4 linked regions of the Pelodiscus sinensis genome follow. The protein of the gene in region 4 interacts with the protein of the main gene of each other region in a pairwise test. Links are inferred from orthologs where the notes say so. Each region holds a gene or a part of one and is shown on either strand. Other genes may lie near its edges. The genes, in order: ABI3, EIF3D, PAX6 and HOMER3.

Region 1 (7,785 bases), on a different chromosome or scaffold from region 4:
GCCTGTCACTGTCTGCCTGAAACGGCACCGCCCTGCCCTGGGCGGGAGGACACAGGCGACCATCAGTCCCCGTTGGCCAGCGGCGGCGTGGGGCTGGTCCCCGAAGATTAGAGAGAGGCGGGAGTGGGGTGGGAGGGGGAATCTTGCACGGGACCCAATCTCGGGTGCAGCAGGAGCCAAACTGCCCTTCCCAGCTCTGTGCAGCTTGATAACGCGCCTCTATGGTGCCGGAGAAGGTGCTGCCTCGCCCGCCTTGCCCGGCTGTTGTCGCAGGCAGGGAGGCCAGAGCGTTGTCCCTCGGGAGGGGGAAACACACCTAGGCTGGCTCCACACTCCGGCCTCGGGTGGCGCGACGGGTGGCACTCGGGGGGTGACTAGTCCACCTTTGTGGGCCCGGCGCTACGTCCGCGGGCGAGCGGCTTCTGCCAACAGACCATGCCTTCGCCCCGGTCCCCACCCAGCCGTGCGTACAGATGTGGCCCTAGAACCCTGCATTGGGGCAGGAGGAAACGGAGCCTCCTTTGCAGCATGATGTGGAGGGCGCTGCGGGGACTGGCCATTGACTTGCATGGGCTTTGGATCCAGCTGTAAAACCTCATCTCCTTTAGGAACTGAGGCCCTGCAAGGTGCCTTCTCCAGCTAAGCAGGGGCGGGTTAGCTTCATGCGCGCTTGGGAACCGGCCCACAGCCGAGCCGTCTGGCAGGGGCGCTGCGCCGTCACAGTGCTGGCTCAGCCCGGGCTGGGGGCGCAAAACCAAGCTGCTGGCCAGATGTGGGCATCCAAAATGTGCTTCTGTCCTGGCCCTTTTCCCAACACTGTCTTGCTGGGCATGGAAATTCCAACAGGTCGCGGCGCGATTCTTCTTTGTGCCCTGGCGGGCTGGGCAGGGCTGGCTGTGTTCCACCCCAGAAGTGGCTGCATCTCAGAGGGAGGAGTTTCATCCCTCCCCTCTGGAGTTCAGACAGCTCTTTGGAGCCCTCTTGGACGAGGGGGGGCAGGCACGCTGGACTTCGACTCCGGGCACTGGGATTCAACTCCTGCTTCTGCCATCTGAGCGTGGAGCCCAGACCTTCCCAGGGTAATTAGGCACCTCACGTCCATGGGAATCAAAGGGAGTGCGGTTCCTAAATCCCTTTGAGAATTGGGACCTGGATCTCTGTACCTCGGCCCCCCTCCTGTACAATCAGGACCCTGCTCCCCTGGTGTATTTGGGTTGTAACCTCTTCGGTAGAGCAGCCACCAGCAGGGAGCCCTGCTCTCAGCTCTCACGGGCCAAGGAAATAAGATCCGGTTGCGGGACTGCGCTCCCACCCCGTCGGGCAAGGGGAGGCGGTGGGTTTCCAGCGCCGGGCGCTCAGAGCAGGGAATGACGCCGCAGGTTGGGCGGGAAGCAGTCACACCAGACAGCCGCTCACCCCAGAACTAGCTCGGAACATTCTCGCGGGGACCAAGCGGGGAGCCGAGGCTGCTGCTCGTGCCCCTGGGAGGTTCTGCTATTTCACAGGTGCAGACTTTCAGCGCCGACCTCTGCGTTTCCTGACACATGTCACCACGCGGAACAACCCCCCCCCCCACGGAAGTGTCCTATCTCCCCGCCTCCCGCCCCACTTGTACCTGAGGAACTGGGCAGGCGTCCCCGTTAACGCCCTGTGCGGAGGGCTAGAAATGAACGAGGGGAAACCTTGTTAGGGTTGATCTGATCTTTACTGGCACAGAGCCCAGCGCTTTGGGGGGAGCTAGCGGATAGATACCGCATGTGGAGACACAAGATCCCAGGTCCAACCGGGATTCTGCCACCCACAACCCCGGTGGCCTTGGGCACGTCACTTCATCTGCTTATGCTTTAGTTCCCCCTCTACTTGGAGCTCATTGGACTGTAAGGAGGATGCAGGAGCTACCTGCCCCGGGGCTTGGCGTCGCTCTGCAAAGACCTGCCTTTCCCGTGAGCGAGCCAGGGCCCAGGGAAGAGAAGGCAGGCGCCAGGTGGACACTTGCAAGTCAAGTTGAAGATCAGGTTCCCCTTAGGGTCGGATCTGAGTTAAGACTGCACCTCCCCCCAGAACACGGCCACAGTCAGACACGGTTACTCGGCCCTCTGAGCTTACAGGCAGCGCACGCAGGACAGACGGACACCGCGGCACAACGGACGGAGCGATTTCTCGCAGGCTGCATCTACACTGCACGGCTATTTTGGGAGATTTTTTGAAATAACGGGCGCTATAAGGGAAGGTGCGACAGAGCCTCTTATTTCGAACTTCGGCGCCGTGGAGACGGGCCAGATTTCAAAATTGCCTATTTCGAAATAAGAGGCGCGATGTGCAAGTCTGATCCCAGTGCAGGGGGCTGTGTGGACGGGGCCAAAAGCCAAGTTCGGCGTGTGGGGCGCTAGCCACTAGGCCGTACTGCCTCCCCAAAGGCAAGATCATTTTCTGTCCTTCCCTTTCTACTGGGCAGAGCCGGCCCAGCTGCCCCTTTGCGGAGCCTTCATGCCCCTAAGTGTGAGATGCCCGGGATCTCGGCACCTGGCCGGCCCAGCCGCGGGCCCCGCCTACCTGCAGGTAGTTGCTCTCGCAGTAGTCGGCCAGCCTGTGCAGGTTGCTGTAGTTGTCCCGCAGGACTTGCCTGGCCGCGGGGATTTCATGCTGCTGCCGCTCGGCCATGCTGCGCGCCGCTTCCTCCTGCGCGCCAGCGGCTCCCCAGGCAGCCCGGGCGCTGCGCTGCGCTCATTGGCGGGCGGGGCGCGCAGTCCCACCCCGCTGCGCACCTGCCCCTCTGCGCCACCGGGGGGCCCCAGCCTGCCCCGGCCACTCGCCCCGCCAGCCCGGGGGCCGCTTCGGAGGGACCCGGCTTTCAGCGCCCGCTGGGATCCGTGCGCCCCCCTTCCCGTGCGCACTCGGGAAACTTAGGAACGGCCCGGAGAGGAAACGTGGCTCCCACGCGCTGTGGGGCGCGGGGCGCAGCTGGCCCGGGGGGAGCTGGTGTCAGACCCTGCGGTGATCCTCCGGGGGAAGGGGTGGGGGGAAGAGGGGCCGTCCGGGCGGGGTTTGCCAGCCGCAGGGGAAGCGCTGGGGGCGGCCGAGGAAAGCCACAGCGAGAGGGGACGTGAGTCATGGCAGAAGAACAAGGGGCGCTGGAAACAGAAACATTCCAAGAAAGTCCCAGCGGCCAGGGAGCTAAACTGTCCCGCAACGGGCTCCCGGGCGGCCACGCGTGTCCGCGCCCACGTGTACAGCCGAAGCTGGCTGCTGTGCTTGGGGTGAAGCTGCGACTCCCCGGTAGCCCAGCGACCAGGGCCGACGTATCCAGTAGGCTCAGTGCCTGGGCCCCGCGATACTTTTAGGGGCCCACGAAAATGTTTTAATTTCTTTTAAAATCAGAAGGAAAAAAAACCTTTTAGGGTCGAAGAAAGGCTACGTCTGCATCGCGGCTTCTTGCGGGAGTAATATGCAAATGAGGCTAAGCGTGGAATATCGCCCAGCCTCATTTGCATACCTAATGAGCCACCATTTTTTTCAGAAGAGGCTCTTGCGCAAGAAAAACCCTCGGCTGCGTCTAGATTGCACCCTCTTTTCGTAAAAGGGATGCAAATTAGACGTATCGCAATTGCTAATGAAGCGGGGATTTAAATCTCCCCCGCTTCATTAGCATAAAAATGGCTGCCGCTTTTTTTCGGCACGAAGCTTTGCTGGAAAATAGCGCCAGTCTAGACACGGATCTTTCGGAAAATAAAGCCTTTTCCAAAAGGCCCTCTTAAAATAAGGGATAAGGGAGCTTTCAGAAAAGGCTTTATTTTCCGAAAGATCCGCGTCTAGACTGGCGCTTTTTTCCGGCAAAGCTCCGTGCTGAGGGATGCAATCTAGACATAGCCCCCTTGCGCAACGCCGTTACACCTATTACTTGACAGGAAGAACGGCGTTGCGCAAAAGGGTTTTTCTTGCGCAAGGAGGGGCAGTGTAGACGCTTCTTGCGCAAGAGCCTCTTCTGAAAAAATGGTGGCTCATTAGGTATGCAAATGAGGCTCGGCGATATTCCACGCTTAGCCTCATTTGCATATTACTTGCGCAAGAAGCCGCGAGTGGGAACATAGTCAAAATGTTTTAATATTTTTCTCACATCAGAAAAAAATGAAACTTTTAGGGCCCACGAAAATCGATTCAATTTTGCCTAAAACAGAAAAAAAAATGTTGAAGTATTTAAAGTTATATCAAAAATCATTTTTACAATTGATATTATTATGGGGGGGGGCCCACGAAGGCAAAGGTGCCTATGGCCCACCAAAGTCATAATGCGGCTCTGCCATCGACAGGGTCAAATCCCGGCCCCACGGCACGCGGTGAGTGGGGAGTGTGACCGAGTCGGGCTACCGGGGAGCAGTGGAGGGGAAATCTATTAGCCCCGGATTAAATAGGTCTCTGTTCCCAGCCTAGACTAACGAGGGCTGATCCAGAACCAGCAGGAACCTGCTAGAATCAGTCAGCGCAATCAGGCCAATGAAAACACTTAGCACCAAGCAGGAGGCTTCCAGACTCACAGGGGCCGGACTGAGGCTGGTTTAAAAGGGCTTTTTCCTTCTGCTTGCTCTGCTGCGAGGAGGGAGCTGAGGAGAGTGAGGGGCGGGGGAGGCTGGGAGGAGAAAGCGCAGGTGGGTACCAGGGTGGAAGGGCGTGGCCCGTGGGGAAGTGGCCTGTGGATTTGTAGCGGTTACCAGAGACGTTCCAGACAGCGGCTGCTGCGGGGGCCCTGGGCCGGAGCCTGCGGTAAAGGACAGGCCCGGTTCTCGCCAGCAGCTCCCCATTGTACGACTAGGAAGAACCGGTTTGGGTGCACGCAGGGCTGGATCAAGCCATTCCGGCGCCCCGGGCAGATAGTTCAATTGTGCCCTGGGTTGGGGGAGGGTGCATGCGCGGCCTCGCCCCCGTGCTGGTGTGCGGGGGAGGGTGCATGCATGGTCCCGCCCCCGCCCAGCACGAGGGGGAGGGCACGTGGAGCTGGCGGCGGCAGGATGCACGTGCCCGGCCCGGCCCAGCCTGGCTACTGCTGCTGGTGCGCAGCCCGGGGCCGCCTGGGGCGGGACGAGCCTGGCCGTGCAGGGCCCCACAGCCATGCGGGTAATGGCGTTGCTGGCCGGCGCCGTGGGGGTTAACGCAGCCCCTGCCCTGGGAGCCGGCTGTGTGGCGCCTGATGGCAGCTCTAAGGGGTGCCACGCGCCCGGCTGCACAGCGCCCCTCACAGCTGCCATCCAGCGCCCCCCATAGGTTGGCACCTGGGGCAGCTGCCTGGCTAGCTCATGCCTTAATCCGGCCCTGGGTGCAAGGGTTTGTCCTCCCTGCACTCCCGGGAGGGGCAGCAAAGACGAGGAAGTTTGGTTTCCCCTCTTCCCCGTGCTGGCCTGCGATGGGAGTCTCCACAAACAGCGAGCCGGTGTCTGAAGGGAGGCAAGTCAACCCCCGAGAGCTCAGGCCCCAGGTGGAGGGGGAGCTTTGTCGCAGGAGTTAGGGACGAAATCCGCTAGGACGTGGCTTCCTCCTGCTTGGCGGGACCCAGGTTTCCAGCAGAGGCGGGCCCGGGCCAACCCTCCGATCTAACCCGCGCTGAGCCGGGACAGTTCACACTGGGCCACGGACTCCTCTCGGCCGGCCAGAGCTCACGGAGGGGCTGGCAGTGCCCTCACGCTGCCCCGCAGCCGCCCCGCCGCGGAGCCACACGCAGCCCCAGCCTGGGTATCGTCCAGTCCACGGTACGATGTGCAGCGGGGGGGGAGGGGTTTCCATCCCAGCCCCTCTGGGCAGATCAAAGGGCAGCTCGGCCCAGCTGGAGAGTCTCCCAATGCGAGCACTTGCCAGTAGACACAGAGGCCGGGTTCATCTGCCCCTGCGCCGCCAGCTCCCCCAGCTCCGCCCTTCTCCATTTGGCCGATGGCCCGGGGGGGGGTAGCCAATCTGCACTTGAGAGATGCTCCTAGGCTGCTCCAATCAGACGTCGTTCTAGCAAGGACCTCCAAGAGTCGAAAGCCCAGCCCTGACCGTCTTCCCCCAGCCTCCACCCATGGGGATTCCCCGGATGCTGCTCCAGAGCTCCCTCCCCCGAGAGCCAGCAAATGTTCCTTGCGTCTAACCCAGCCCTGCGGCTGCGGCGTGAGCCCTATTCCAGGGGATGGGGGAGCCCCGGGGCACCAGGCTTGTGACGACAGCCTCGCCCTCGCCAGAGCTGAAGCCTGTTGTCAAGTCCCCCCCAGGACCAAACCTCTCCAGGCGTTGGAACCGTCCCACCCACGTCAGGTTTTCGAAACATTTTCTCATTTTTGTTGCTCCCCTCTGGACTCTCCTCAACCGGTCCATGGTCTCCCCACGGCGCCAGGCCCAGACCCGGCCACGGAATAGCAAAGGAGGCCTCCCCAGAGCAGGGCAATTACCCGCCACGTCTCACGTACACCGGGCCTGTAAATACGCCCCACAACGATCTTCGGATTGTTCACAGCTGCATCCCCCTCCTCACTCCCAGCCAATCTGTGTTTCACTAGACGCCCCGGTTCCTTCCCTCCTCCCCCGCCATTGTCATCCTTTGGGTTTTCCCCTTTGCTCTGCAGAGACGGCGAACGAGGCTGCCGAGGCGGGTTATGTGGGGGGGAGACGGCGAACGAGGCAGCCGAGGCGGGTTGTGTGAGGGGGGAGACGGCGAACGAGGCTGCCGAGGCAGGTTGTGTGGGGGGGAGACGGTGAACGAGGCAGCCGAGGCGGGTTGTGTGAGGGGGGAGACGGCGAACGAGGCAGCCGAGGTGGGTTGTGTGAGGGGGGAGACGGCGAACGAGGCTGCCGAGGTGGGTTATGTGGGGGGGAGGCGGCAAACGAGGCAGCCGAGGCGGGTTGTGTGAGGGGGGAGACGGCGAACGAGGCTGCCGAGGCAGGTTGTGGGGGGGGGAGACGGTGAACGAGGCTGCCGAGGCGGGTTGTGTGAGGGGGGAGATGGCCAACGAGGCTGTTGAGGCGGGTTGTCTCAGGGGGAGACGGTGAACGAGGCTGCCGAGGCGGGTTGTGTGAGGGGGAGACGGCGAACGAGGCTGCCGAGGCGGGTTGTGTGAGGGGGGAGATGGCCAACGAGGCTGTTGAGGCGGGTTGTCTCAGGGGGAGACGGTGAACGAGGCTGCCGAGGCGGGTTGTCTCTGAGGGGGAGACGGTGAACGAGGCTGCCGAGGCGGGTTGTCTCTGAGGGGGAGATGGCGAACGAGGCTGTCGAGGCGGGTTGTGTGAGGGGGAGACGGCGAACGAGGCTGCCGAGGCGGGTTGTCTCTGAGGGGGAGACGGCGAATGAGGCTGCCGAGGCGGGTTGTCTCTGAGGGGGAGACGGTGAACGAGGCTGCCGAGGCGGGTTGTCTCTGAGGGGGAGACGGCGAACGAGGCTGCCGAGGCGGGTTGTCTCTGAGGGGGAGACGGTGAACGAGGCTGCCGAGGCGGGTTGTCTCTGAGGGGGAGATGGCGAACGAGGCTGTCGAGGCGGGTTGTGTGAGGGGGAGACAGCGAACGAGGCTGCCGAGGCGGGTTGTCTCTGAGGGGGAGACGGCGAACGAGGCTGCCGAGGCGGGTTGTCTCTGAGGGGGAGATGGCGAACGAGGCTGTCGAGGCGGGTTGTCTCTGAGGGGGAGACGGCGAACGAGGCTGCCGAGGCGGGTTGTCTCTGAGGGGGAGATGGCGAACGAGGCTGTCGAGGCGGGTGGTGTGAGGGGGAGATGGCGAACGAGGCTGCCGAGGCGGGTTGTCTCTGAGGGGGAGACGGCGAACGAGGCTGCC
Region 2 (7,369 bases), on a different chromosome or scaffold from region 4:
GGAAGGAGTGTTTTGGTTATAAGCAAAATCTTTACAGCAATTTTACTGCTTCAGAAAGGTTTCAGGAAATGTGCAAGGTACCTGTGCAAATCTCATACGATTCCTTTGGTATGCCGTCTTCTGTGTACGTGCTGTGTCCACAAGCTGGAAGCTGGTCTCATCCTCCTCATGAAAATATGCATACTGGCTCCCCCCGCCAAATTGTGATGAGTACTTATCTGAGGACACAATGACCCAAATTACCTTGTTGCTGGTCTGCAAACGATGCCTCATGACATGAGCGCAGAGTTAGCCCTCTTACCCTGTCACTTGGCTCACCCCCGCTTGAAACTACAGCTAGGGCTTTTCCCTTAGAAAAGCCTGGGAGCTAGGGGGTGAGGCTTCCATCCTTGTACCATGTCACAAGGAAGCTCAAAGCCAGAAGCAACCCCAAGGATAGAGAGGATCTCAAGTGCCTCTCTCTCCAAGGGTAGGGCACACTTCTGAGTTAAAGAGACAAAGATGAGGGAGGGAAGCAGGCATGACTAATGTTCTCTCTAATTTTTCCCAACCCTGAGCGGAACGAATGTTATGTTCACCAATATGGAAGTGATGTGTGGCACATCGTCTGCATATTGGTGTTCATAACGAAATTCATGTATTGAGGGTGGGGCTGAAGGGTTGGTAGTGTGGGACAGGATTCAGGCCAGGGCAGAATGTCGGGGTGCAGGAGTGTTAGGACTATGGCTGGGAGTTTGGGCTCTCAGGTAAGGCTGGGGATAAGCAGCTTAGGGCTTGTTCACCAACAGAAAGAGAGTTGGGGTGCAAGAGCTCTGACGGGGGGTGCAGGCTCTGGGATGGAGTAAGGGAAAAGGGACTTAGGGCTTCAGCAGAAGGCTGGAGTGCAGGGGTGTGAGGGCTCTAGATAAGGGTCCATCTAGACCCTTGAGGTTTGGCTGGGTTTGGGAGGGATTCAAAGTGGAGGGTGCTCCGGGGCTACTTCATTGAGAGACGACTCTCCCGGCTCTCTCTTCTTGCAGCAGCATCTGGGCTGGGAGAGTAGGACAGCACCTCTCCTGGCAACGGCATAGCAGGAGGTGGGGTGGGCTGCTGTAGTATAATTGGGGCTGGTTCAGGACTGGACAGACCCAGCAGGTTGGCACAAAAGCTAAACTGGGCCTGGGATGGCCCTTCCCCAGCTGCTGCAGGGCCTTCCTAGAGACCTTGTGTAGTGCTAAATAGGGACATGCGTGACCGCTTGGCCATGCAGTTTACAGGAAACTTAGAAGATGGTTAAGAAACCTCATATGAAGTATCTTAGCAAAGAGCAGCCACCAACATAGCACTTACTTGTGTATCTCTTGTCCTGGTAAGTGGCTCCTGTCCAGTCTGCAACCTAATAAAAAAGACAACAGAAACAAACTTGTTGAGCGTGTGTCATCCAACATCTTATACTCTCTTTTGCTCCACAATCTCTTAATTCACTCAGCCACTCAGCAACAGCAAACAGTGCTTTCTATTCCAGAGTCACACTTACAATCATCTTATAACAATCAATATTCTTTCAAACTTCTTGCTTTGCTTATGCACACTATCAAGAGGTCTTGGTTCATACAACACCTGCAACAGGGATAAGGAAGCTATAGGGAGTGGAGCACCAATGTGTGTGTAGAGGCATTATTAGGAACAGTATAGGACTAAGACAGCAAATATGATAAGAACAGCTAACAGGAATTTCCAAGTAGCCTAACATATGGGCATTAACTGATTACTCCAGTGATTTATTTAGTAGTGTTAGCACAGGTACCTTTCCCAGACGATCCCCTTTGCTGAAGGGCTGATATGGCATATCTTTGAACTGCTCTGGAACAGCACATGGACCCCACCCGGAGGGGTTGTCCTGGATCACAGGCGTCATGAATTTAGCCATCTTCTAAAATCCTTGGGAAAAAAAATGGGGTGGAGGTAGTTCAAGTGTTTGGAACATTTTAACTCTACAAAACTGCTGGGAAACTTCATTGGATACTAATGAGCAATGACAACCATTCAAAAGACAATAGGTGGTACCACTTTTAATGGCCACAAACACAGAGAAAAGTTCGTAGGGCTAGGATCATTTCCCAGAATTTCTGGGGTTAAGGAAAAGGTGAAGGTGTCAGCTCTAACAGCACTGTCGGTATGCAATAGAATAATTACTTTCCTGTGTACGAATCTCCTGAACTGAACTGTTAGACAAAACTGAACAAGACAAGTGCCTGTCTGTGACCAATATAAAAAGCCCTGGAAAAAGGTTTCATATCTCTCTTTACTGTGCATAATAGCACAATTACTTCCCAGATGGATTTTTCTTTCAGACCACACCCATGCCTTTATGCTTGAGGATCTACTATTTTTATACTTATTGTCCTAGCTAGCATCTGTGAAGCAGCTATTCTTATTCCCAAAAATATCTAATCCTGTGTCATCAAGACCCAGCTCCTCAAAGGGATTTAGGCCCTTCTCACTCAAATCAGGAGGTGCTAAGCTCCGAAACACCCTCCAGGACCTGGGCCTACGTGCTCGGCCATGTGTAGATCCGGCAGCAGCGAGTACCGCAGGTTGGAGACAAGCCGTGAGCCAGCAGGGCCCGGCTGTGAGGCTGCGGGAGCCGCGCCTGGGAAACAGGGGCCAGCCGAGGGGACGGGCGAGCAGCCCAGGGGGGGAGCCGGGCCCGGGCCCAGACAGGGTAGAAGCCGCGCGCTCCCGCCCCGGCAGGCCCGGCGAGGCGGTGTCTGGCCTGGACGTCCCGTGGCCAAGGCGGATCCGGGCCCCACAGACTCCAAGTCGCGCGCGCGGCCGCGCGGGCCTGTTCCGGCCGGAGCCCTGCGCGCGCCCCTCACCTGTGCGGGCCCAGCCGGGTCCCGATGGAGGCGGATGCGGGTCGGGGGGGGGTGAAGGCTGCGGGAGAACCTTAGCTAGGGTTACACGCCGGCGCGCACCGCCCGCCACGTCATCACCCCGCGCCGCCCCCGGACGCATCGTCGTAAAAGCAAAACAGGGCTATTCCGCCCTGTGGGGGAGGCGAGCGAGTTGCCGTAAAGCACCAAAGTGGGGGAGGAGAGCGAGTTGCCGTAAAGCACCAAAGTCCGCTCCCCCCGGCTGCCGCAAGGAGGCCGGGTCGGGCCTGGCTCCGCTGCTGGGGCTAAGCGAGCACCCGGGTGGTTGGGGGCAGGGCCGGTCGAAGGCCCCACGAGTGTGGAGCCGCCTCATCCTTGTGCCTCGGGGCCGCTGCTGCAACCGCGCCCGGCCTGTCCGCAGCGCGCTCCGAGAGGCTCCTGCGGGGTGAAGCGGGGCGGCAGCCCAGGGTGCGGGGCGAGCCCGTTCAAACGGGTCCCGGCGGTGGGTTTGGGTTACACGCGGCGCCCGCGGCGGGGCCTGGGGATGGCGCTTTTCGCATCTCTGGCTGCCGTGGCTGGACGTGAACTGCCGCAGGAATTCGCTCATTGGGGTGGGTGAGCGGGGCTCCTCCAGGCTGCCAGCTGGGGCTGTTCTACATTTCAGAGAGGGAGCCTGCGCTAGTTCTTATCCGCTAATCGAATAGTCGATGGAAATCAATTAGTTAATCAATATTTAACGTCCCTAGTAAGAACGGCCATACTGGATCAGACCACTAGTCCGTCTTCTGGCAGTGGCTATTGTCAGGTGCTTTGGAGGCAATGAACAGAAGAGGGCAACGTCTAGTGATCCATCCCTTGTTGCCTAGTCTCACCCTCTAAGCAGTTGGATGTTTAGGGATATTTGGACCATTTTGGCTAATAGCCATTGATGAACCTATCATTAACGTATCTAGTTATATTTTTTTTAACCTAGTTGTAATTTTGGCCTTCACAACTTCCTGTTCCACAGGTTGACTGTGCCTTGGGTGAAGTACTTTCCTGTTTTTTTTTAAAAACCTGTTGCCTATTATTTTTGTACCCTAGTTGTGCTGTCTGAGGGGTAAATAACACTTCCTTCCTGAATTTTTTCACAGCACTCATGATATAGATCTCTATCATTTCCCACCTTAGTTGCCTTTTCTCAGTAAAACAGTCCTCACTTTAAAAATCTCTCCTATGGAAACTGTTCCATATTTTTAATACTTTTGATTGCCCTTGTTTGCACCTTTTTAAATTGTAATATATCTTTTTTGAGATGTGATCAGAATTGCACACAGTATCTAAAGTATGGGTGTATTATGGATTTATATAGTGGCATTATAGTATTTTCTGTTTTTAATTTCAATCCCTTTCATAATAGTTCCTGACATTATTAGCTTTTTTTAATTGTTACTGCGCACTTAGAAGATATTTTCAGAGAGCTATCCACAGTGACTCCAAAAGGATAATTTCGATTCCCTCCATTTTGTCTGTATAGTTGGGATTATTTTTTCTAATGTGCATTACTTTGTGCTTATCAACAATTAATTTCATCTGCCATTTTGTTACTCAGCTGCCCAGTTTAGTGAAATCCCTTTGTAATGCTTTACAGTCAGCTTAACTTTTTATTCATTTTATATCTACAAATTTTGCCACTTCACTGTTCACTCTGTTTTCCAGATTTACAATTATGTTAAACAGCATTGGCCCCAGTACATACTCGTGGAGGACCTTGCCATTTACATCGCTCCCTTCTTAAAACTGATCATTTATTCCTATCACTTGTTTCCTGTCTTTTAGCCATTTAACTGATCCACGAAAATACTTTCCCTTTTATCCCACAACTGCTTAGTTTAATAGCTTTTGATGAGAGACCTTGTCAAAAAGGATTTCTGAAAGTTCAAGTACACTATATATAATTGGATTAGCCCTGTCCAAATGCTTGTAGACACCCTCAAAACATTCTAGTAGATGGGTGAGGTATGCCTTACCCAGAGCAGTTCTATTACTTCAGAGGACATATGTGGCTCTCTTTTCTCTCCCAGTCTTACCTGCTGAAAGGAGGGGAGAATCACCACATGGTATAAAACCCAATGTTTATGTTGTGCAGAATTTGGGATTATATTTTGTTTTACTAGGTTATCCGTGTATCCCTTGTTTTAGCAATGAAGTTTATTTAAGTCATCCTTTCCCTCTCTTAGTTACCTAAAACAAAATACTTGGGTGTCTGGCTTTTGCATGGTGTTCTAGTAGTAAATTAATCCCTTACATTCTTCATTATCTCTAAGATATTTGGTACTTTATCTGGTCAGCACTCATCTAAACCTCTGATCTCAAGAAGATTGCTTTTTGCACTGAGGTTTTTGTTTATAATATCCAGGGCATCTTTTTCTGTCTAAAATCAAACAGCAAAGAATGCTGATCCAACCTGCTTAGTAAATTAAATATTTGCAATTATATAGTGTTCTTTATCTAATTATCTCAAAGTGCTTTACAAATAAAAATTAGGCTTAAAAAATGTCCCTACTAGGAAGGGTAAATATTACCCACATGTTACAAATAAAGAAAATTGAGGTATAGACATTTTCCAGTAGTTCACACAGTAAATCTCTGGCATAGTGAGGAACAAAATGCCCATCTCTAGACTATATGGCTACGTCTAGACTGGCATGATTTTATGCAAATTCTTTTAACGGAAAAGTTTTTCAGTTAAAAGCATTTGTGGAAAAGAGCATCTAGATTGGCACGGATGCTTTTCCGCAAAAGCACTTTTTGTGGAAAAGCGTCCATGTCAATCTAGACATGATTTAGTGCAAGAAAGCCCTGATTGCCATTTTCACCATCGGGGCTTTTTTGCGCAAAACAGTTTTTAGGTGTCTACATTGGCCCTCTTGTGCAAAAACATTTCCGGAAAAGGGCTTTTGCCCGAATGGGAACATCAAAGCATTTGCGCAAGAAGCACTGATTTCGGACAGTAGAACATCAGTGCTTTTGCGCAAAATCAAGCGGCCAGTGTAGACAGCTGGCAAGTTTTTCCGCAAAACTTGCCAGTCTAGACACAGTCGATGTGTATTGGGCACTATTTGTTGCAGTCCTGTCAGTCCCAGGATATTATAGAGGTAATATTTGTTACTGAACATTTCTGTTGGTGAACAAGACAAGCTTTCTTAAGCCAAGACCCAAAAAAGCTCTGTGTAAAGTTGAAAGCTTGTTTTTCTTACCAATAGAAGTTAGTCCAATAAAATATATTACTACGCCCACCTTATTTGTCTCTGTGTGTGTATCAGTCAGGGCAGCATAGATGGATAGGAATGATGGTCTAGAGTAGTTTTTCTCAATAATTTGGGGTTGATGACCCCTTATTTGAAGGAAAAAAATTCTGTGACCCTTTAACATTTATTATAAAAGATAAATAATAATGCCAAACCTATTTAGTTAGTTTTTTGTGTGTCTGGAGAGGTTGACAAAATACTTGAAGGGTAAGTATGTGCAAGAAGAGGAGCAAAATTTTCTTTGCTTTAGGAAAAAATTTTGAAATAACGGGCACGCTGTTAAGATGCAGAAAACACTATTTTGGGATACTGGATGTATCCTGAAATAGTGCTGCTGTTTAGACGTACCCTCAGAGGCATACAAAGTTTCTCCCATACTTAATCCATGACTGCTAAATCCTTCCAGAAGAGATAGAACAAATGCTACTTAAAACCCACAATATCCCCTCATCAGCCACCAGTAAGATATAATATGCCTATAGAAATATACCCTATAAAATACAAGCAATCAGTAATTGTAGTAGACCAACAATCAAGCGGTCTTCACATTAGGGATGTTAAAGGTTAACCAGGATGTTAAAGGCTTACCAGCATGCTTACTGATTAACCAGAGCGCCCCCCGCCTATGGCGGCCCAGCATCAGGGCTGTTGGGCCCATTGCAGCCCCTGTCACCAAGTCACAGCCATGGTGGGGGTAGAATGGCCCCTTCCACTCACAGCTGCTGTGAGCGGGGACGAGAGCAGCCCCCACGACCTGCAGCCAGTGTTTAACTAGTTAAACAACTTGTTTAACTGGTTAACTATTCTGGGTGGTTTTTTCATCCCTACTTAACATGATAAATGCAATGGGCAGATCCAGGGATTTCAGTATGTTAGTAGTAACCCATTAACAGTTTGGTAGGAGCCGCACCAAGCCAATTTCAGTTGTGCCATAGCAACTTTAATTACATACATTCTCTTGACTCTCCTAATGCACCTGATGAAGACAATGAGATTTTTGCCACTGACTTGACTAGCAGCAGGCCCTAAGACCCTATGCAAGTGGCCTGGTAGTAACATAGTCTATAACTAAGTTTTTTTTTTATTCCTCTTAGGGATGAATTAATACATTTTACCTGACAATATTGTGGGTTCAAGTAGGATATTATTGGGCTGACATTCTGCATAGGAGAGGGGATAGTGAAAGGAGCAAAGGCTCAAGATCCAAAGCAGAAAGACTAGGTG
Region 3 (7,332 bases), on a different chromosome or scaffold from region 4:
ACATCCTCACAGAGTCTTGCTAGAACGAGTGTAAGATTTGAAGAAGTTTAAAAAATATGAGGCCACATAGTAGATGCTTTATACTAATCTTACCCGTTGCCCAGCGTACAGAAATAGAATTCTTCCGACTGCTCTGAAGCCCTTTAGATCGGATTCTATACTCAGCGTGGTGAAGTAACTCCGATTTCTAAGTAGTCACACACCCACACACGCCATTTTAATACTATTTTGAATCCTTTAAAAAACAACAGGGGGACTATCCATTTTCTATTGAATTGCAGCAAAACTGAATTTCCAGGATGAAAAAAAAAGCAAATGACATTTGTACATCGCTCAAAGGTTAAACGCAATCCTGTCTGGAAAAAAAACTACCTCACACCATTTGAACTGCCGAGTGATGGTCGGAAAAGCCCGCTACACGCAAAGTATTTAAAAACACGTACCTTGGACAAGGGGAATAGATCCCAGCTAACATGCTAGTCAAGTGTCTCTTTCCTTGGAAGCGAAGCCACATTTCTACCCACGATCTTTTTCCCCCCTGGTCTACGAGGTTGCTGATGGTTTTTACCGTTTATTGTAGCTAGCCGGGGACCCTGCCGTCTATGCAATGCCACAGTAAACAAATTGTTCTGATGTGCTTATTATTATTGCTCAAGTTCTGCTTGGATAGAGAATTAAAGCTCATTATTACAGAGTGTGTTGTGAATTGCTCAATCTGTGGGAACACCGGGGTTTGGGGCATCCTTAAAACCCCTTCCTGCCGCAGTGTAAATCAAATGTGTATCATGCTTATAAATGGGTAACACGTTGCTGTCTCTCTGCCCTCGCCCGAGCCACAGTGGCTGTCACAGCGCTCAGGGATACCGCCCGGCAGCGCGCAGCGAGCAGCTAGCGGGTTCGCTGCAAGGCTGCTCCCTCCACGTCCATCCGCGCTCTGCGCCCTCGCTGGAGCCTCTGCCTCGTTGGCGTGTGGCTCTCTGCAAAAGGGCTTCGGCTGCTCCTGGCTGGGGCCGGGTCCCCGCACAAGCCCGGACCCAGACGAGCCCCGCTCAGTCCACAAGAGGCGTCCCGCTTTCCCAGGGCACAATTATCTGCCCGAGAAAAAACTGGCGCAACCGTTTCCACGCAGGGTGCTGGCTGGGCTCACTCGCTGCCGCTGGCTTGCGCGCTGCGGGGCTGGCCACTCCCTGGGCTTCGTGGCAGACCGCCAGTCAGCCTGCCCCTCCGGGCCCCTCACGCGTGGTGCGCGGTGGTGAAAACACGAGGGGTTCACCAGGCCACCGACACGTGCCATGGTTGTGCGGTGGGCTGCGTGCCCCGCTGCGGAGGGGTTAGGCATTGCCCCCAGCCCCAGGGGCAGGGCGGGGAGCGAAGCGAGCCCGGGATCCCGCTCGCGGAAACCCGCCGCCGGTCCCGCCCGCATCGCGGCCCACGCGAGGCTGCCTGGGCGCAGGCTGCGGTTGCCGCCTGGACTTTGTGGCCCTGCACACTGCGGGGATCCCAAAGCCAAGGGCGGGCCCGTGCGCCTGGCTCAGTCCGTCCCTCCCTTCCGCCCCTTGGCGAGCGCTCGGAAGGCAAACAGAGCCACGCTCGGGTGTTGGCCGGGGGACTGTTTGTCTGCCTGCGCCAGGGCCCGGCCAAGCAGACTTGGCTTCACGCCTGATGGGTTTCTGGAGAGCGGCGCGCTTTGGAGAGCAGGGGAGGCAGCACCTGGCCCTGCGCTAGGAGCCATCTCCTTTTATTGACAGCCAGATAAGCAGGCGGCAGCCGTGGTGTTTCCAGCGCTTCCTTCGAGAACCCTGCTGGGTTGCAGGGATCCGGAGTCCCTTAATAGCAGCGACTCCAAACAATCCGTGAAACACCTTCCTGACAGCCCGCGCCCGGCCTCGCCTTTCCACGCGGGCAGCATTAGCCGCTCGCTAACCCGCACTAGGGCCCCTCCGCCCGGTGGCAAAGTGAGCAAACAGACGCCTGGGCGGAGGGGGAGCCGTCCAAACAGAACCCAAATTGTGTGTGAACGGGGGCCGACGGCCTCCCGATGCCGAGCGACGCTTGGCACAGCCGAGAAGCGCTGCTCCCCCCGCCGCCTCCCCACCCTCGTCTTCGACATGTTGCCCCACGCTTAGCATGCGAGCCCTCGTTTTCCAGGGCATTCGCAACTCAGCCTCACGCTGAGCAAATCCCTGGGCCAAAGGAAGGGCGGAGAGGCTTCGCGTTGCCTACCCCCCAAATGGCATCCAAATATTGGCTTTTGGAAACATGGCCGATCGGCAAAGAAACCTAATTCAAACGGGCAAAAAAACGCTCTCGCCCAGGGGAAAGTCCGCATTATAACCAATATCCCGATAGCCTGGTTCCAACTGCGTAGATCCGATACAGGAACATTGTCTGCAAAGCTAGCCACTAAAAACCGATTGCAAATATACTGTCCAGAGGAGAACTATACCCAATATTTTGTTAGGTAGAGAAGGGACGTAGTGAAAAGAATCTGGGTACTTTGTAATAAAAAAACAAATCCCTTTCAAAGACTACCTCCCATGGAACTAGCAATCCCCGACAAATCAAAGACAGAATGCAGGTTCATGAAACATTTACGTTCAGTTCCATAAAACCGTCGACTAGGCTGTACCTCTTTTCTGATCAATTATTTACCTCGACAACTGTGTGCAAATAATGGTATTTCTGTCTTTAATGGGACAGGAGGCAGATAAGAGGAAAACCTAGCGGAATAAGTACAAAGAAGGCTCCCTGAATAACCACGGAACCTTTTTTATCTTTTCTTCAAGATTTAAAGTAAAATTCGTGGTGCGGTCATTTCCAAAAGCTATTTTAATAAGACAAGCATTGATTACTGCCGTTTTGCCAAGAGCCAGTCGATGACAAGAGAAAATGCCCAATGCTGTGACAATGTAGAGCAAGTCAATGTCACCATAATCCATGCATTGTAATACGTTTTAATAGTTAGAGTAAGAAAAGAACCACACCTGTATGCTGTAGAAGTAATCGTTCGCTATTTGCCAGCCCCAGATACAGATGTTAGACATTCTGTTTATCACATAACCGCCGAACAGTGCGGTCTCTGTTCTCCCCAAATGGTTAATTACATTACAACGGATTTTGCCTTTTGAACCTAGTTTTTAAAAAGACCAACTGGAAGGTGGAGATAGACAGCAAGCAGTTCCTGCTGGTAAAAGTTCTCGAAAAGCGATTGGTAAAGCATTTGAAGAAAGTGTTCTCCCCTCTCTGTCCTTCGCACCTCAGTCTGAAACAGGGCATTTATGAACTCATTTTTAAACGTTCAAGGAAAAAGTCAAAACTCAGCATGAGTTCCTTCTTCTGAAGCAGTTAAAATGTATTGACACCCGCTTGATAATAAACCAACCCATTTTTCTACTTAACTTTGCAAACATGTATTTTTAAATACCGCTCTGCTGCTTAATAAAGACTGGCTGGAGTAGGGGTTCATAATCTTATTCCTGCACTGCAATAATCCTAGTAGCCAACCACAAATAAACATTTTATTTTCTACCTGACTGGACCTACTCAGTACACGAAATCCGAGACGCAATAGCATCAATGGACTTTTAGTGATAACTGGGGGACTGGATCTTTTCTGACCTGTGCAAGGCAGGCACAGGGGCCACCCGAAAGGAGGGTGAAGTTACCTTAAAGTTTTGGAGCGTGGCAGAGAAAGGGGTAGCTCTCTCTAATCGTTCACAAGGGTCTGATAGATCAGTTGCCACCGCAACTTGTGCTGTGAAACAGCCTGTCTTGCAAGTAACACTTCAGGTGGCAGGCTGAGTTAGGAAGACAAGCGTGCCTTTGGAAAAGATGGGGAGAGGGGGAATAACCACGCACGACCATAAGGTACTAAAGGTGAGGCCACAAGAAAAGACGGGAAAGTGCAGCAAGGTGAACTTGGATATTCGAAAGTCTGGCCATCCTGCTGTAGCTAGCTCCGTAGCCTACGGCTGCTACTAACTACAGCTGCAGGAACCCCCGGAAAAGGTATTTTACAGTGTAATACAGCATGCACTGTGTGCCTTGCAAGCTGGGAATGCAATGCCACTGGTGAGCATTAATATTTCCATAGAATAATATGGTGCCTTAAATACTCCCCGGATTCAGGAGGAGCAGGCAGTGGGGGAAAGGGTTTAGGCCCTATATGCCCGTTGTTATCTAAAATTTCTTATTAGCTCAGCTCTAACTACTGTCCTCCATGACGTCACCGCGGCCGCCCAGCCAATAGGGGAGGCGCTGGCGTTGATATTAAGGGAAAGTTAGTGCAAAGCAAGACACCCTCTTTTTTACTGTCATTGACATTTAAACTGTGTGGCAGATTCTTATGTAGAAATTGGCGATCAAACCTGCCAGTTATCTACAATCGGCAAGGTAATAGTGTGGGAATCGGCAGGTCAGGTTCATCTGTCTGCACTCTCTGTTCCAGGTAACATTTTATACTCCTTTTCTACAGTCATTACTAGTGCCACTGGCTTGCTCTGAAAATAATAATCCGACCCTCTCTCTCTCGCTGAATCTTTTGCCTGCTTTGCTGTGTCTGTGTTCCTCTGTTTGTCTTTGAAATGGGCCGAGTACAGGGACTGTTTTAAAGTTGTGCTCTTTTCTGGTACTTACAAAATACATCAGTGTCTATATTAGCTGGCCTGAGAATGAAGTCTCGCATATTTGGGCGGAAGACTTTTGCTCCTGTTCACCGCTGGTTGCGAACACGGCCACTTCTGGTGCAACTCAGTTATTCGTGTAGGCTTCATCACTCTGTATCCGTTTTCTCGCCTTTTGTGTAGGTTTTTTGTAACGTTTTGCAAACCCCACTCTACAACAGGTGGGGAGGGGATGCCCCTTGTGATCTCGAGCAATTAACTCGTCTGTTTGGAAACTGAGTCTGAAACTTTCCACGCTTCCGGGGAGTGTGGGTACTTGAGCGGCCGGGCGCTATCAATATTTGATTCGCTTCTCGGAGTTCAGCTAGAAATGCAAGAATGCGGCTCACGGCGTTGGGTAGCCTTTTAAATCTCCCGACCGTGTGATCTGCGCTTTGCTCGGGAAGACCTGATCATTAGCGATTTGCACTGAGGTAGAACGGCGGGGACTCAAGTTACACTAAGCCCGGTCACACCCTGCCCTCGCTTCCAGGCCGGCTGTGGCCACAGCGAGCCCCGGGCCCTTGGCGAGTTTGATAAGTTACAGGGCGCAGCGCAGGAAACCGCGAATCCTTAGAAACTGGCTGGCTGGTTCTCAGGCGAGCCCGGTCCCGGTGCCTTGCGTGCGCTGCGAGGTGTGTTTCACACTCAGGCTGTGCAGGTGTGTCGATCCAGACAGCCCTGCTCAGCCATGCCGTGCATGCACATGCGTGTCATTCCACACACGCACTCCCAAAGCCGCCCTGCTATTTCCTTCCACAGCGAATCAGCCTCAGAAGCTAACACGGGACGGTTTTAAAGTTTCAGCGTAGGTTGGGGGGCGAAGTTTCCACGCTACCCCTGTAAGTGAACGGACCGATTTTGGTTTGCATGTTGTCTGGGGGCGGGTGGGGGGGGGGATTCAGTGTTCAGTCGCATTTTCTAACGCCCCCACGGAAGCGCAGTTTTATTTGGAAATGAGAGCTAAAAGTGGTCTAGCTGGAGGCAGGAGGGGAGGGGGAAGTGGGCTGCACACTTCAAATGTTTCGCCTTTTTGCCTTTGAGTCTAGTTCCTCCGCTTTATACTTTCGAGATCTGATTGGGAGCTGTTCCGAGGGGTAGCTACTTTGGCTAGCCCGAATTCGTGAGCGCACGGAAGTTCTGTAGAACCTGTGAATGGAAACAGACCCTAACTCACAATCGCAATCTTTCCTTGGTAATTTCTGCGGTGTGCACTAACGAGGGGGCGAAAGGGAAAGAGGGAAATCCCTCTACTGTAGGTAGACAAGTGTAGGGAGCTCACGAGAGCTTTTCAAAAAACTCAAAATGGAAATCCGGAAACACAATTGACCTACCCTCCCTGTTTTCCTAATATTCCTCAAGGTACTCTAGCAGGAAGGTTCGCGGCAGTGCCTCCCTCTGATACACCGATAAATGGACATTCTCCTTCAGTAATAAATCAAACACCATCCATCTCAGATCCTCCTCCCTAATTAGAGATGTTTATTGGAGATTGTGTTTATCCAGCTGTCATGCCGAGAAAAAGCTGTGACATAATTACCTCTGACCAGATAGTCTTTTACATGCATATTTCATTGACATATAATGCGATTGGCTCGCATTAAAAATGACAAGATCAAATGTTGATTTTACCAGCTGTAATAATATTTCTGATTATTAAATTAATTGAAATGCATCTTTCAGATGGTCCAAATTCTGGTAACGGATTGTGAAATGAAAGCTTTGAGTCATTTATTTCATGGTGACATCAAATAATGGTGCGAGTGAAGAAATATGGGAAGTTACTCAAATAAAAGCTACTTGTTTTTAAAAGAGAATTAATCTTCAGTTAAATAAAACACTTTATATCAACCAAAGACGTACCTACACCATTTTCATGTTGTCACAGATCCCACCGATTTACCGTTTTGCTTCTAATCCAAAAGGCCTATCTATCTATCTATCTATCTATCCGCCCAAATTGTCTTAAATATCTCTAGTTCATATTAACAATGTCACTTTTAAAATGTGCCTCTAGCTGCGGGGAATAAGATCTTGATTCATTGGCTCCCTTAGCCTTGCCAGCGTTTGTGTAGCCATCTGTCTGTGTCTGTTAGGAAGTGATGATAAGCTACGAATTACTCTGTAATTGAAAATATATTTTGGGGGGGAACTGGTTTTACCAATATCAAGAGTGTAGGCTTTTTATCCGTTCTGCTGCCCGTGTTCTCCAGTCGCTAATAAAACTCAAATTGAGCTCCTTAGTGACTTGATTAACAGGCAGATTAACTGTTACGGGAGGTTTGAACAGCTTGTCCCAATCAATAGCATTTAAAATGCCCGTCAGGATGCGCTTAGCTCGCTCGCTCTCTCTAAAAATAGGCTTTTCTATCAGGTCCGTTTGCACGACATTTTTTCACATATAGAATCAAAGGCTGTCCCGTATGGAAACATGTGTGTTCGTCTTCCAGATTCAGAGACAGCAGCATGACTTCGTTAGGGTCCAGAAATACGTTTTTATTCTTGCACACAAAGCTGTGCTCTATGCAAAAGACCAACATAAAAGAGGTTAAATCGATTCCAAACTTTTTGCAGATTGTTTATAAACTAGAAAAGCTCCACTTAACTCAATGTCCTGTGCACTAGAGGTTTCAAGCACGGTTCCTGTGTATACAAATAGGCATTCAGTGTC
Region 4 (7,824 bases):
GAGTGAGTGAACAGGGTGTAGCTTGCTAACAACCCAATTTGCTCTGTCTCTGCAGGGCTCAGCCAGCGGGTCTTTAAGGGCCTGGCTGCTCTAGCCACTAGACCACATGCCCTTCCTGATCTGGGAGTGCTATCCAGGGAGTTCTGACTTCCAGCCTTTTGCTTTAACCAGAAGAGATACTGCCTCTTCTCTTCCGGCTCACAAGCTCTCTTAGCTCTGTAGCTCACTTCCGAGCCATCCTGCACACCACCACTTTGTGGGAATGCAATGGTGAGCTGAGTGGCCAGATGGGGTGCAGAGACACAGGACTTGCAGTCCTCCCTGCCTCCTCCCCGCAACCCGGCCCCATCCCTGTGGATGAATGGAGCAGCGCAGCCTGTCCCTCCTAGAAAGCTCCCACCCACTGTGGTGGTGAAATTAACCAGCAAAGCTCAGCATGAAGGTTGAAAGTGACTCTCTCCCAGCCTGTTTGTAGATAAAAGGCTCCGGAGGAATCCTGGCTGATTATGCCCCAGTCGGATTAGCCTGAGGAACACAATGCCAGGCATGCAAGTTCAGGCCTGGGGAAGGGAACCAGGGCACTTAAAGGCCCAGCAGCATTGCTAAGCATTTCTACCAGACACCTATTGCTAATGCTGCTCCAGTCTTTACCATCTGTGAACACTCCACTGGGCTCCACCACGTTTCTGCTCATGTGTCGTTGTACAACAGGGGCACACACATGGAAGCCTGCACAGCTCTGCCAATGCACTTTAGCTCTGACTTCACTGTTTTCAGCATTGCTCCTGGACAGCACTGGCAGGTCTCCCGAAACACGCCCAGCAGCCAACACTAAGCATTTCCGGAGCCTGTCCGATGCTAGTTTGAAATGTGGACCCAAATGCCCAGTATGGACACAGCTAGGAGGTAAATGAATTCACTTCTCCTGTGACCCAAGTGACATTTACAGCTAGCTATTTAAAGGTGAAAAGGCAATGCTTCAAAACCTACACACACCAGGGATATGTTAGAGTTCAGGAATGAATTATCCATGAAAGCTACACCCTGGATATTACTGGGACAAGGGTTACAAGGAAATCTGACCACATGAGGTGTTCAGAGTCAAAAGGGAGGGGGGTGGGAACGACTGACCGCTAGCTTAAAATACAAATCAACTAAAACTGACTGGTGGAAAATCATTTCAAAGCTACCGCTTTCCTACTCCCTTAGCAATCCAGGGGACTAAACCTGCTGCTGGTTATTCAACATTTCCATGTAAATCTATGCACAAGACAAAGACCTTCCAGCTCTGAAGTTCTCTGTGACAGAAAACCAGGCGGGGAGGAATGTCATCTGCACATGAACTATAGCATTGCTGCCTTGACGCTATCATTGTAGTAAAATCTAAAACTACCCTCACAATGACCGCAGCGTCAACATTATGCATGAGAAGTGGCACCCGTCTAAAGAAATTGCATAGCCACTGGGTGTAGCCACAGCAGTTGCAAGAAACAGGGGACTGTTTCTGATCTAACTTGGCCAAGTATAAATGCCACTGGCTTAAATAGATTTACTCTAGGTTCACACTGAGACTCTGAGATCAGAATCCGTATCTATGTCCCTCCTGCCATCTGAATCGGTTTCACCCTGTTCAGTCTTTTTATCCGGCTGCCCAAGAGAGAAATAAAAACCCAGCAAAAGAAACACAAACCACTAAACTGTTACTTATTTCTCCTCTAATGTCAAACTCAAAGGCTTGGAGAAATTGAACAGGCAGGGGCTTCCTCCAGCCCCAGCGTGCTTCTTAGCAGCCCAGAAGTGTTCATTACACAAGCAACTTACTCACAGCAGCATGCCAGATCCTTAAAATTACACAGTTGGGGTTATTACCAGTGCATAATCAAATATCAAGCTACATTTCCATTTCTATGCCAGTGCCTGATTGAATATATTTCACCCCGAAAGAATTTACGGGTTATGATCAGAGATTTTTCAGTCACACTATTTACCCACTTAGAAATGTAAGTTGGGTCCATTTTACTGAATACCGAGGTCACAAGAGCAAAACAAAATCAGAAATCTCTAACTTCTGGAAACATCTGCAAAGGCAGTAGGTCCTTTATGTCACCCCAAAGGGCCATTCTGAATTGTATACAACATATGCATTCCCCTGGAGACTTCCAGCCACATCCTGGGTCACAAAGTAATTTACAAATCTCTGCAACTATCTACATCCTGAATCCCGAAAGGTTAGGGGCCTTTTTTTATATGTAAACTTGAATTTCTTTACTGCAATTGGAAATCCTGATCTCTTCGACTCTGCTATATTAAAAACACACCACGTTTTATACATCATGAATACAATAAACAACACAACCACCAAACTGCTAATCTCACCCCATCTCCAAGTCGGTGTCAGGTTTTTTTTTCCTGGTCTCTTCTTGGATCGTGTTAGATTCACTCCACGTTTTTATTTATTTTTCCCTTCCTCTTCTCTTTCTCCGGATCCGGATGCTCTATAAATTTCCTCCGGAATTTCACTTTGAAATCCGCTAGTTTTGTTGTTTGAACAAAAATGACCTATAATCCCAAAGCATGCACGGGAGGGGTGACAGTTAGGGCAACCTTCCTGGGTGGGAGATCTCCCCACCAAGAGCTACAGCCCAGGAGATCCTAGAGAGAACTTTGGAACACACTTTGCTACGGAAATGTTGCAATCTCCGGCAGGCAGTTTCTTCCTCGATCTTGCTGACGGGGATCCCCTCTTCCCTTCAGCATGGGCAGCAGCCACAAGATTATTTGCTCCTTTTGCTAACCCTTTGCAATAATGCCGCCTCCCTCCTATTCCAGCGACGGAGTTGCTCTGTAAGTTTTTTCCACAGCCCGAAAAGTGAAGCTGTGTCCACAGTTTGTCTCTCTCGATCGCGATTTCTTTGTTCTCTCTCTCTCATTTTTTTATCCGCTTCCTGCCTCTGCCAACTGCCCCATCTCGGTCACATTTCTCTTTCTTTCTCCTGACTTTATTTCCAATGGGTTCCATCTGGCTCAGAGGCACCATCTGCTGGGCACAGCTGTACTGTGCACCCACAGTAACACCAAGCAGCTAAATTACCAGCACCACACAAAGATGCCCCAACCCCACTTCCCACCGCCTTCGTTCCTGGGCTTTCTTCCAGGGTTTGACCCCTATGCTGTAATCTGACACAGCCTCTGAGTTTGTCTAGACTAGGAGGGAAGTTGTTTGGTCAGCTAGTCCATGTTAAAATACAATTTGCTCTTTCTAGACTAGCATTTTCAAGCATGTTGGCACACGTTTTAAAAAACAAACCCGACACCTTTTATCTGAGCCTAGAGACAGAACCTTTCCGAAAGACAGTGCCTGATCCCACTATTGCTCTGTTCCTTGCACTGACATCTATAGCTGTGCAGGGCGAGTGCGAAACACTGGCATGTACATCTGGTTACATTTTACATCCACTTTGCACAGGTGAAAATAGCTGAACTAGGTTTGAAGCAATGAAGACAGAGGCCTCTAGAGAAAATGTATGAACAAAAGGGAAGGTTGGATGGATAAACACACCAGAATCTAGAGATGGAGACAGACAAACAGAAGCACTAGGCCCCAAGGATGCAAACAGATTAGACGGTATTAAAAATATCTTAATGCATATAATAAGTAGCTTAGCAGTTGCAGCAAACATACCTATTATGAGAATACTCAAGGCTTTAATCAGAACTGAGACGCTATTGTGCTGAGTGCTGTTCAAACACAATGGGCCAGACCCTCCCCAGGTGAAAGTCCACGGACTTCCCCAGCATTACACCAGGGATGAGCATAGCCCTATATAGTTGGATGATTATGTGCTCAGCTCTCTGGTGACTTGTACCTTTTGCAATCATTTGTGCCAGTGCAAAATGCTACCAGATTAGAAGGGCAACATTTTACATCCCCGTTACATAAGAACGGCCAGACTGGGTCAGACCAAAGGTCCATCTAGCCTTGTGTCCTGTCTTCCGACAGTGGCCAGTGTCAGATGCCCCAGAGGGAATGAACAGAACAGGTAATCCTCAAATGATCCCTCTCCTGTCATCCATTCCCAGCCCCTGACAAACAGAGGCTAGGGACACTGTCCCTGCCCATTCTGGCTAATAAATATTGATGGATTTATATCTAGTTCTTTTTTGAACTCTGTTAAAGTCCTGGTCTTCACAATATCCTCTGGCAAGGAGTTCCACAGGTTGACTGTGCGCTTCATGAAGAAAATTCCCTGTTTGCTTTTAACCTGCTACCTGTTAATTTAATTTGGTGACCCCTGTTCCTTTGTGCCACTGCAAATGATAAGACACAAAGCAGAGCAACACAGGGTATATATTTGTCTCCAAGTTGTTAATAAGGAACATACAGTTACAGTAAGTCTACATTATGTCAGCAAAATTTAAGGCACTGTTTTTCTGTCTTAGGGACCAACATAAATCAGTCAATCACATCTCGCCATGAACAGTACCAGCTACACTGGAGGTGGATGGGGTGGGGAGAATCAATGGTCTGTTGTAGATACTTTGCCCATTAAATTCTGGCAGCTACATTTGTACCTGGGTCTGAGTGTGTGAGCACATGCACTCACTAGAGCAGGCAACCGCTGTGCAAATGTTCACATTTACTGCAGCAAGACAGTATTCCTGGGCTTCTCCCCATCCCAATGAACACAGCTCTTCCAATCAGCCTTGATTTATAGCAATGCCACAAACAGGGCTCCCACAAAAGGCACTACCACGGTGTTTCAACCTCCCACTAGTCTAACAGCAGGCCTGACCTGAGCAGATTGGCTGTGGTGTTCAAATGTGTGGCTACTGCACGAGTCCAATCTCATTTTTTGCTTGTATTTTATTAGGTCGCCCACATTAATAAGGAAAAGAGTTTGCATTAATTCCAGGCAGTTCTGAACTTTACTTTCCATGCCCTCATAATTTCTGGGCACTGCAGGCTTGCACTATAATGATAAGCTGTGCCCATGTCATTTCCCCAGGAAACTCAGGAAAAGCAGCTGTTCTTTGAGCAGTATTTAGATGGAGCTTATATAAGGATGACAAACAGGAGGTTTTCCCTAGATAAGACTGTAAGCTCTTTGGGGCATGGGACTTTTTGTTATATTTGTGCAGAGTGCCTAGCATAATGTAGCCAGGTGCCTAATTCGGACCTTTAGATACTGCAACAGTACTGATGCTGGTCCCCTCCTCTCTCTATTATCCCCTCCACCTGCCTTTCAAATGTATCTAGAATCCTCATCCTTTGTCACCAGCATTCACAGTGCTGGGACAAAGCACGTGCCAGTGTTTTAACCATCACGTCAACTACAGCTAGACCTTTTCTGAGAAAAGTGAGATAATGCAATGCTTAAAATAGCAGTGCAAACCAATGATACCTCTATGCCAGAGCTCCCAACATTTGACACCAGTGGAGCTGAACAAGTGTTAGAACTGATGGGAACATTTTGAAATTTTGCAAGTGGACCCTTGAATAGTCACTGTCAGAAAGTTTGTGGCAACAGGTGAAAAGTTTCTGATGCCTCTCTTAACTTGAGCTGGCAGACTAACCAGCAGTTCCCAGACTGCCTCCTCTCTCAGGCCCAGAGCCAAGTTCAACACCAGGACATGAATGAATTGGGTCCTTACTCCTTCTACTCCATTTTCTCTGTCTTCATACACACAACCTGGCCACCAATGATAAAGGGACTACAATAAACCACTGAAGACTCTGCTGAAAGTAGGACACACAGTATTTTTCATACTGACCTGCTAACAGTAGGTTATCTCTGGCTCTTCTTAGAAGCTAATTATTTTACATGTTAAAATTAGGGTAATGAGATCAGCAGGAATTGCACTAAAATCAGGTGTTAGTAACCTTGTAAGGATGTCCTTTAACAGGGTTTTTGTTCCATTTGCGCCTTCTCCTGCTGAAGGAGGACAATTAATATCTTCTGCCCTTCAGAAGAGACCAGAAATTAGATATTTTGATCATCCCCCCTCATGTCATTAATTACCCAGCCATTGTCAAGTTTGCACCATTAATCTTCCCACAGCTCTTTAAACAGTGGCTGAGAACACAGACAAGAGCACACAACAGATCACTGCCTAAACTTAAAGGGTATTCTTAATGGCAGTATAATCCCTTTCAAAGCACATTCACTGTCCAAGATACATACCTTCAAACTAGTTCTTTACATTTCATTGCTACAATGGGTGACTGCAATCAGAGAGGACTTAGCATCACGGTTTTGCAGCAGCTCTTCAGCCTTCTCATTTTCAGTTCTACATTTTTTATGTAAAATCTTCTTACTCTCTAACTCCATTACTTAATAAAGGCTGATGGCTAGTCCCACCATTAGCTCTTTCCTTGAAAAGTGCAAACTGCTATTAATTAGCACCTGCAAAACTGCCAAATATAAATCTGGGAACATGAGCATTGTTGGATGTTTAGTAAATTTTAATAGCTGGCCACAATTGGTGTGCAAATAGAGGTCCTTGTTGTAAAATAGATGTTTTAGGGAATAAAAGATGCATTCAAAAGGAGAGATTGGCATTCTGCGTTAGTGTAAAAATACTTTAACCTGTAGTGTGAAGGAAGCTTTAAACAACAAATAATTTGGTCTTTTCTCTATGTAATTTATATAGGTCATTAGACTGCATTCACCTGGTTTCTAGACATCTTTTTCAATTATCTTTTTAAGCAGATGTGGTAGTGTGGCAGGAAAGAGCACCTGCCCAGGAGACGTGGGTTCAACCTAAGTCTGGAAACTTCTGCTGCTAAGGCAACTTGAGAACTGGAGAACGCAAACTGTATGGCTACGTCTAGACTGGCATGATTTTCCACAAATGCTTTTAACGGAAAAGTTTTTCCATTAAAAGCATTTGTGGAAAAGAGCGTCTAGATTGGCACGGACACTTTTGCACAAAAGCACTTTTTGCGGAAAAGCGTCCATGCCAATCTAGACGCGGTTTTGCGCAAGAAAGCCCTGATTGCCATTTTTGCCATCGGGACTTTTTTGCGCAAAACAGTTTTTAGCTGTCTACACAGGCCCTCTTGTGCAAGAGGGCTGTTTCCCGAACGGGAGCAGCATAGTGTTTGTGGAAGAACACTGACAATATTACATGAGATCATCAGTGTTCTTGCGCAAATTCAAGCGGCCAGTGTAGACAGCTGGCAAGTTTTTCTGCAAAAGCAGTTGCTTTTGAGGAAAAACTTGCCAGTCTAGATGCAGCCATATATATGTTTCGAAGGAGAAAAGGAAGCAGTAGAATTCAATCATTCTTTGCATGCCTCTGGCACCAGACAGAGAGAGCAAGAGAGCACAGCAATTTCTTTGGGTATTTCACTGCTGGAGAACTCAGACCGTTCTCCAAAGAAGGAGACTGAGACATTTTAGATGACATTTTAGAGACAGTTAAAGATATTTAACAAAGAGGGTTATGGTATCTGGATTTTGGACATGCTCTAAGGCACATAAACTTGCATCAGCAATAAAGTACATAAACTGGGTTATGATGCTGTTTGGGATAGGGAGAGATACCTTGTAAAGGTCACTAAAATATATTAGGAACTTAAGTTAGTGTGTGTACAATGCTTTGAAGATTTAAAAACTAAGATGAGAGAGAGAGAGATGAAAGCTTTGTGGCCAGTGGTGTGAGCATAGGAAGATCAGTTAGGAATTTCTAATCTCTAATCCACAGATCTGACACTGATTCCATCTGTGGCCATGAGCACATTGCTTAATCTTATTTGTATAATGGAGATCATACTTACTTCACGGGGACACTGGAAGATTTAATAAGGTGGCATTTGTTGAG

What was found.
Region 1: the proteins of HOMER3 (region 4) and ABI3 interact in binary tests that used the Homo sapiens proteins (3 or more experiments, as listed by UniProt). The two-hybrid records come from large-scale screens. The link is inferred for Pelodiscus sinensis from reciprocal best matches to the Homo sapiens genes HOMER3 and ABI3.
Region 2: the proteins of HOMER3 (region 4) and EIF3D interact in binary tests that used the Homo sapiens proteins (3 or more experiments, as listed by UniProt). The two-hybrid records come from large-scale screens. The link is inferred for Pelodiscus sinensis from reciprocal best matches to the Homo sapiens genes HOMER3 and EIF3D.
Region 3: the proteins of HOMER3 (region 4) and PAX6 interact in binary tests that used the Homo sapiens proteins (3 or more experiments, as listed by UniProt). The link is inferred for Pelodiscus sinensis from reciprocal best matches to the Homo sapiens genes HOMER3 and PAX6.

The regions. Positions count from the first base shown.
Region 1 is NC_134739.1:14,541,773-14,549,557, reverse strand, and holds the start of ABI3 (ABI gene family member 3), read right to left. Parts: upstream 3,009-7,785; 5' UTR 2,662-3,008; coding exon 2,554-2,661; intron 1,080-2,553; exon of another isoform or gene 1-1,079. UniProt on the Homo sapiens protein: May inhibit tumor metastasis. In vitro, reduces cell motility.
Region 2 is NC_134711.1:93,328,385-93,335,753, reverse strand, and holds the start of EIF3D (eukaryotic translation initiation factor 3 subunit D), read right to left. Parts: upstream 3,013-7,369; 5' UTR 2,859-3,012; intron 1,921-2,858; 5' UTR 1,910-1,920; coding exon 1,787-1,909; intron 1,376-1,786; coding exon 1,330-1,375; intron 219-1,329; coding exon 82-218; intron 1-81. UniProt on the Homo sapiens protein: mRNA cap-binding component of the eukaryotic translation initiation factor 3 (eIF-3) complex, a complex required for several steps in the initiation of protein synthesis of a specialized repertoire of mRNAs.
Region 3 is NC_134714.1:97,376,824-97,384,155, reverse strand, and holds the start of PAX6 (paired box protein Pax-6), read left to right. Parts: upstream 1-4,331; 5' UTR 4,332-4,447; intron 4,448-7,332. UniProt on the Homo sapiens protein: Transcription factor with important functions in the development of the eye, nose, central nervous system and pancreas. Required for the differentiation of pancreatic islet alpha cells.
Region 4 is NC_134729.1:19,308,415-19,316,238, reverse strand, and holds the start of HOMER3 (homer protein homolog 3), read right to left. Parts: upstream 3,002-7,824; 5' UTR 2,382-3,001; coding exon of another isoform or gene 2,377-2,381; intron 1-2,376. UniProt on the Homo sapiens protein: Postsynaptic density scaffolding protein. Binds and cross-links cytoplasmic regions of GRM1, GRM5, ITPR1, DNM3, RYR1, RYR2, SHANK1 and SHANK3.